Cricetulus griseus: one gene and its partner. Each later gene encodes a partner of the first gene's protein in a complex. Links are inferred from orthologs where the notes say so. Each region holds a gene or a part of one and is shown on either strand. Other genes may lie near its edges.

Region 1 (4,095 bases):
AGTTGCTAACCACAGACATTTGCTAATAGTGTTTTCATAAGGTTGAGCTGAAGCAGGATTAAATTGAGAAGACCTCTTACATGGTTCTCGAATCCCGTGTGTGTGTGTGTGTGTGTGTGTGTGTGTGTGTGTGTACATGTGCATGTGTGTATTCCATGGCGAGTGTTGAGTGCATGTGCTCATGTTCCATGGTTCTTCCTTCCTCTGATGTGTCCTGAACATGGAACTCACTCAGATCATCAGGCTATGCAGCAAGTGCATTTGCCTCCTAAACCCTCTCACTGGTCCGCATCTCTTTATTTATCTCCCTACTTGTTATTTATTGAGGACCTACTTTGTGCTTCTTAGTATCAGACCCTAGCAATGTGCAGAGTGGACATAGTCCTTACCCTTGACAGTACTGGACAAATAGCTGTCTGGCGAGAGTTGGCTAGATGAGGAGTCCGGGGGAAGAAAAGGTGTAATGTGTCTAAGGAGCAGGGGTGGCAAGTGTTACTGGTTGCACAGAGGCAGCAGTCCATGGCATTGCTGCAGAAGCAGGCAGAACACTCAAGCCCAGAGGAGGATGTGGATGTGTACCCAAGAGTAGCCTGATGGGGTTTGCATTTTGAGAAGACTCTTCTGGACTTGAGTGTAACTCGGCAGCATGGTACTGGGCTGAGCTCCATCCCTAGCCTACAGAAGAAAAAAGGAAACTTGTTCTGGAAGATGGCTCAGTAATGAAAGGTGCTTGCCCAAGCCTGACAGCACATGGTGAAGAAGACAACTGACAAGGTGCTTTAAGTTGCCCTCTGACTTGCACACATACAACACACATACATACACACACACACACACACACACACACACACACACACACACACACAGAAAATTAATGTAACAAAAAAGAATGCCAACTTTTTCTTGCTTTAGACCGCCCCAATACAAATTGACTAGTTGTGTGACCTCAGCTAAAAATAAAGGCTCTGTCTCAAAGGGTTTTGAGGATTAAATGTGTTGATGATATTAACAAATGTTCAGTAAGAGTTCCCTACTGCATCCTACTGGTAGGGTAGATACTGTACTTGATCTTAGCCCAAAGACTGAGAAGCAGTTACATGCTGCACTGAGATGTAAAAGTAGAGGGTGGTTAAGAATGCTGGCTGCTCTTCCAGAGGATACAGGTTCAACTCCCAACACCTACATGGTAGCTCACAGCTGTCTATAACCATAGTCCTATGGGATCTGATTCCTTCTTCTGGCCCCTTTGGGCATCAGGCATGCATATAGACAGACAGACAGACAGACAGACAGACAGACAGACAGACAGACAGACAGACACACAGACAGACACACACACACACACACACACACCCCATAGAAATCTTTTTTTTTTTTTTTTTTTTTTGGATTTGAAAATATGGGGGTTGGGGAAATGGCACAGTGATTTATAGAGAACCTGAGTTCAGTTCCCAGCACCTATGTCAGGCAGCTCACAACCCTCTGTAACTCTGACTCGCATCACACACACAGCGCCAAGCCTTCTCTCCTTGGGGTTTTTCATCCCTTCCTGCTGCCAGAACACACACTCATACACACCTTTGTTTTTCTTAGACAGTGCCTCCCTGTTATCCAGGCTGGCCATAAACATGCAGCAATCCTTGTACCTCAGCCTCCTAAGTGCTGAGGTTAACGTGAGCTGGCTGTTGTGCTTCAGATCAGGTTCAGAGTTGCACACTCCAGCCTCTGTTTACTAGCTCTTCAACCACAATCATGACAAAAAGAGGGTAGTGGGTGTCTCACCAAGTCCTTCCCCTTTCCTCCATGGTCAAAAAGCAGAAACAGAGTGTGTTCCATAGCCACGTTTTATAAATGGACATGTGCTAATTAATGCTTCTCTGGCTTATTCATCTTTGAACATAAATGTGAGTGTCCATGCCTTTGTGTTGATAATGGGAAAGTTGCACTTCTCTACCAAGCTAATGACTGGCAACAATGGCCTCTCCCTTTCAGGCAAAGCTACTCTTTTCAGATGGAGAAAAAGTAATACCCAGATTGACCCATGAACTTCCAGGAATCAAGGTCAGAATCATTGTGCCCTAAGGCCTTCGGGTGGGGGGGAGACAGTCAGGTGGGATGCAGGTAAAATATGTGGACCCAGGAAATTTCACACACCATCACGGGTAGGGCCAGGTCCCAAAGGACTTTTGAGATCTGTGTCAGGTGGTGGCTAGAGGGTGGAGCCCAGAGGCCCTGCTTACTGTAGTCCCATAAAACTGCAGCTCCCAGGTACTAGCCTTGCACTGACTCCCTTCCCATTCGTTTCCTTCAGCGTGGCCGGCAAGCAGAAGAGGAGTCCCACCGAGGAAGCCCCATTCCTAAAAAGGTAAATAAGCATGTCCCCTGTTGGGGGCTTACAGCTGGGAAAGGGCCCTTCTGTTCCAAAAGAAGGTTGGGCTTGCATTACCTTTGGGCTTTTCCAGGCGTGGGGTGGCAAGGAGAGAAATGGTTACTTTCCGGGGCACTCCCAAGGTCATTTGTTCTCTCTGGATAATTCCACTACCTGATCTAGCCCCAGCACACTAGAGCAGGGGTGCTCCCCATGGTCAGGGCTCTGCTCAATGGACAACCATCTCCACTGACTTCCTGGCCCAGCACACAAGAATGCTACCCACAGGTCAGGGTTCTGACAGCTCTTCTTTGTGCAGAGGAAAGGTCGGCCTCCTGGACACGTCCTGTCAAATGACCGGGCAGCTGCTGGCATGGTGTGAGTAGGGGCCACCAGTGCTGTAAGAGCTGAAGGGAACCGAGGGAGGGAGTGGCCATGAGTGGGAAGAGGCCAGAAGTGAAAGCGGTAGACGCAGGTCCACTGCCCTAAGCTGCTGTGGGAGAGGCTAACCCAGTATAGGTCAGGAAGGGACTGTGAGGGGAGTTGTTTTATGCTGTCTTTTACAAACCCCACCACGGTTGTAGCTTGATTACACACCAGACCTGATTCATACTTGAATGTTTAGAGTTGGTCTAAGTACCAGCTTCCAGCAAGTCTCTAAAGAACAGGGCAATTAGCAGATTTAAAACAAACAAACAAACAAAAAAAAGAGTCAGAATTATATGCCCTAGTAGGGAGGGCATGGTAGTGGACTCCTGAGGTCCCTGTACTTAGGGGGTGAAGGCAGGATGATCCTCAGCCACATGGTGACTTAAAGGCCAGCCTGAGCTACAGGAGATACTCACAAAAAGTCATATAATTATTAAAATGCAAAACAGAGTGATCATTATCAAAGAGCACTTTTAAATTCTATTTATAGAACATTTTAGCTACATCACAAACTCAGTAGAAGATACAGAGCTATCTGAAACCCTCCCAGCCCCCTACATATGTACAGACTCCCTGTTAGTAACACCCAGAGTGTCACATTTGTTACAACTGATGAATTTGCCATGACTTAACACCATCATCCAGCCCATGGATGCATAGGTTCATGCCTGGTGTTGTGAGTCTGAGTTTATAGCACCCTTCCTGAAGCCTTTTTGCCCTGTCTTGGAGACAGGGTCTTACTCTGTAGCCCTTTTCTGACCTGGAACTCACTAAGCAGACCAGGCATTTTCATTCCTCATAAACACGAGGTGGGCAGGGCAGCTGCTGCCCTTATCTCCTTTTGACAGATGAGAAAGCTGCAACTTGGAGATTCCTGGACTTGCCCATCACTGAGTTCTAATGTGGTTTCTGGTCCAGGCTTTTTTTCCCTCTATATTTCTAATGAGTTGCCAGAAAACTGTGCCATCATCACCCCTAGTAAACTTCATTCCAGGTTCTGTCCCTCCCTCCATCCTTGGAGAATTCACCTGTCTTCTTTCCTTCCAAGCAGATGGAAACCAAAATCTTGTGAACCAATTCGCCGAGAAGGCCCCAAGGTATGCTTGCATGAATGTGTCAGTGGCCAGGGCTCTGTGCCCTGTGAGGTAAAGAGGTCAGAGGTGATACATGATGTGCTCACACCATTCCAAAACCATCTTCCCCTCCAGACAGTATTCCAGGGGGGGACTGGAATTAGGAGCAAAATAAAGAGCTGGGCTTGGGGTAGCTTGGTAGTAAAACACTTACCTGGAATATGG
Region 2 (3,280 bases), on another chromosome or scaffold:
GACAAGGTTTGGTTCCATTTTGTTGAGACAAGGTTTGCTCTGCAGCCAGGTCTCTAACCTGTGATCCTCCTGCCTCAGCCTCTAGAGGGCTGATTATAAACATTCACCACACAGCAGTTTAATTAACATGGTTTGAATTTGCAAAGCAAACATTAAAGAATGTGAGTTATTTTCCATGAATTCTTATTTCAACTCTGAGCAAGCGCTGTGCTTACCTTTGCTGGAATGTAGGGTGTCTTTGGAAAGAGAGAGGCACAGAAACTACCTGTTTTTCTTCATATGCCTTCAAAGAATAATAATAACAATGCAAAAGGGAAATTTAAAAGTAGTTAAGAATCAGTGGAAGTCTAATTTTTAAACCTGCTAACATACACTGTGAAGTATTTTAAAAAAAAACACTGTTAGCCTGAAGTAGAGCTTGCCTTTAGTCTGAACACTTGGGAGGCAGAGGCAGGTGGATCTCTGAGTTCCAGGACAGCCAGAGATACCTGTCTCAAAACCAACAGACGCCCCCCCCCACCCCACCACCACCACCACACACTTACTTACAAATCAAATTGATCTAGGGAAATTACATTTATCTGTTGTTTCTCCTTTACCTTTAATTACTTGGAATTTTCAAGAAAAATTTACAAAATAAGGATCTTTACCTGAAACCTTAATACCAATTCCTGAAAGCTTAAAACAAAAACTAAGTTTCACAAAATAAATACACTGAAGCAGCTATAATAGTAATAACCTTTATTTAAAATAGTTTTAATTTAGGAAGCTCATTTCATATGAGTTTCCAACTAATTATTAGAATCAAAACCAAACAAAAAAAGCCAAAGAAAATCCTCTGTAGAAAAAATACCCAAGAACATTTCTACATATGAAAAACAGTAAACATTCTTTACAGCCAGACATCTATGTGCTAGTGTGAATGCCATCTCTCCTAGTGAACACCACTGTCGACCTTGAGATCTGATTTGTTCTTGTCATTCTTCACTGAGTAGATAAAATATGTTAGGGTGTCTTTTTCATTCACTGGAATAGACCTAAAGTGGCAACCAACTATCTACAAAGAAAAAAACAAATTAAATGTTAGATGCAGCAGATTCTGTGAGCCAGGTAAAAGGCACAGTTTAAAAAAAAAAAAAAAAAGGCACAGTTTAGGCCATGTGTTATATGGCCACAAGAGATTGTCTTTTAAAAATTAAGCTGTTTTAACAAAATATGAACAGGCCCCAAAGCACATTTAAAAAAAACAAAATATTATCAACAAAGGACAGTCTGATTTCAAAGGACCCTTTAGTCTACTCAATTCATATGCTCTAATTCTAAGTATTTTACTTGCTTTGGTCCACTGGTTATAAGTATTTTTCCCTTTAAACTTAACAACTTATAAAGTACATATTCTTAAACATTAAATATCAATGACATAAAACAAAAGAGCCAACGTGCATGTCGACTGCATTCACAGGAAAAGATTAATGTAAACAAAACAACAAAAACCCTTGGTAACAAACTATGATATCATATACAATTTTGGTGCAATTGATATTCATTCTCCCTAAGTTTCAGCAAAATTTTCTGAGTAAGATTTAAGAAAATTAAAGGAGCTAGAAAGACGCTCAAGAAGACTGCTTCCCTGTCTTTTCACAGCACAAACCAAACATGCACACTGAGCTACCAACACGAATAAGAAACTGAGCTGCTAATGTGTGCACTCCGATTCCAGAAGATGGCCTGTTTTTCTAGAACAGAAAATAACTCTGTACTAATTCAACTGTTTTTAGAAGACCAGACTTTAAAGTTGAGATTTGAGTTATAAACTATATGATGTTATATCATACAACGTTTGCATCAGTTCTTGGCTCCTCTCTGTTACAAAACAGGGGCGACCATACTTCATTAATGTCTAGTATATTTCATCATAGTAGGGAACATCTTTATGTTTATGTACTGTGCCATGGTAAAAGGACTAGATCTTTAAATAAAATTTGAAGAAAAATTATATTTTTGTCTAGGCAAAAAATAGAGGAGAAAATTTGGCTAGTTAGCATATTGAATTTTAATAATGTAAAAGAACTTTCTACAAAGAATTGCAACTTGTATTTATCTTTTATTTAATATGCACATTAGAAATGTAGGCTAACTACTCAAGTCAAACCCAAGAATATGAGAAAACTCATGTAAACACACACACACACACACACACACACACACACACACACACAGAGAGAGAGAGAGAGATTTCTGTCCTGTCTATTTAGTGGAAAAGTTTATTTTACATATAAAGTCTAATTATTTAAATCTGTAAATACTTTAAAGTGCACAGATTTTGTGGCTCTATTACTTCTTGAAAACACACACACACACACACACACACACACACACACACACACACAGCTAATTTCCAAAGCACTCTGAAGGAACCAAAGTCCTATACAAAATAAACTTTAAGTAAAAGCTTGGATAAAATCTTTGCTCTCTCTCGATGTAAAGAAAGCATCTTCTACTTAAAAACAACAACTACTAACAAAGACAACCTGAAAGTAAAACTAGAAAGTTAGGAAGTACTGCTTCAGGGTTCATCTGTAGGCCTATCCCAGAGAAGCTTTGAAAACTAAATTCTGATAAATGCTTGTAAGCTTATTTATTTGTTATGCCTCAATTAGGTGTTCAATAAACAGACATTGAATAATTAGAAACCTAAAACAGATTTCTGAAGTGATTAAAAACTCACTAAATACTTACTCTGAGAAATCCCTATTAAAAAATGCTGTAAGTGGATTTTCTAGGTGACAGACAGTTGTTTCTAAACCACTATATGCACACCATGATAGACCCATTAACTCTGACTTTCTTAGACATTAGACATTTACCTATTTCATCATCATTTAATCACAACCCTTGTTGGTGTGAACAGGTTTGTTTATACCGTATAAAAATTATACATACCTCAACAAGTTGTGCTTTATTAAGGCCTGGTCTGGTTGGAAGCTTGAAGTGTCTTTTGTATCTTCTAAGTGTATTTACTTGTAATTGGTACAAATCAACCTAGAAAAAAAAAATTAAGATGTAACATAGTTCACTCTGCTGAAAAGATATCACTGATCTGTAAAGCAAAGGGCAATGTCCACTTCAGCACAAGAACAATTTCTTTTCCACAGTCAGATCTAGAGTTTATTAGTTTCACCTTTTGGGGATACATAGTGTAAGCTTTTAGAGGAAAAAAAAAAAGGAAGTTATAGGTCAAGGGCTACAAGAACTGTCACCTGAGATTTAATAGTAGTAT

The links. The genes of interacting proteins can lie anywhere in the genome.
Region 2: Dnttip1 (region 1) and Sap30 share a complex: the UniProt entries of both Homo sapiens proteins name them as parts of the histone deacetylase complex. The link is inferred for Cricetulus griseus from reciprocal best matches to the Homo sapiens genes DNTTIP1 and SAP30.

The regions. Positions count from the first base shown.
Region 1 is NC_048599.1:14,670,223-14,674,317, reverse strand, and holds part of Dnttip1 (deoxynucleotidyltransferase terminal-interacting protein 1), read left to right. Parts: intron 1-1,992; coding exon 1,993-2,061; intron 2,062-2,311; coding exon 2,312-2,365; intron 2,366-2,687; coding exon 2,688-2,746; intron 2,747-3,845; coding exon 3,846-3,894; intron 3,895-4,095. UniProt on the Homo sapiens protein: Increases DNTT terminal deoxynucleotidyltransferase activity (in vitro). Also acts as a transcriptional regulator, binding to the consensus sequence 5'-GNTGCATG-3' following an AT-tract.
Region 2 is NW_023276806.1:235,754,398-235,757,677, forward strand, and holds the end of Sap30 (histone deacetylase complex subunit SAP30), read right to left. Parts: intron 3,043-3,280; coding exon 2,944-3,042; intron 1,058-2,943; coding exon 935-1,057; 3' UTR 725-934; downstream 1-724. UniProt on the Homo sapiens protein: Involved in the functional recruitment of the Sin3-histone deacetylase complex (HDAC) to a specific subset of N-CoR corepressor complexes. Capable of transcription repression by N-CoR.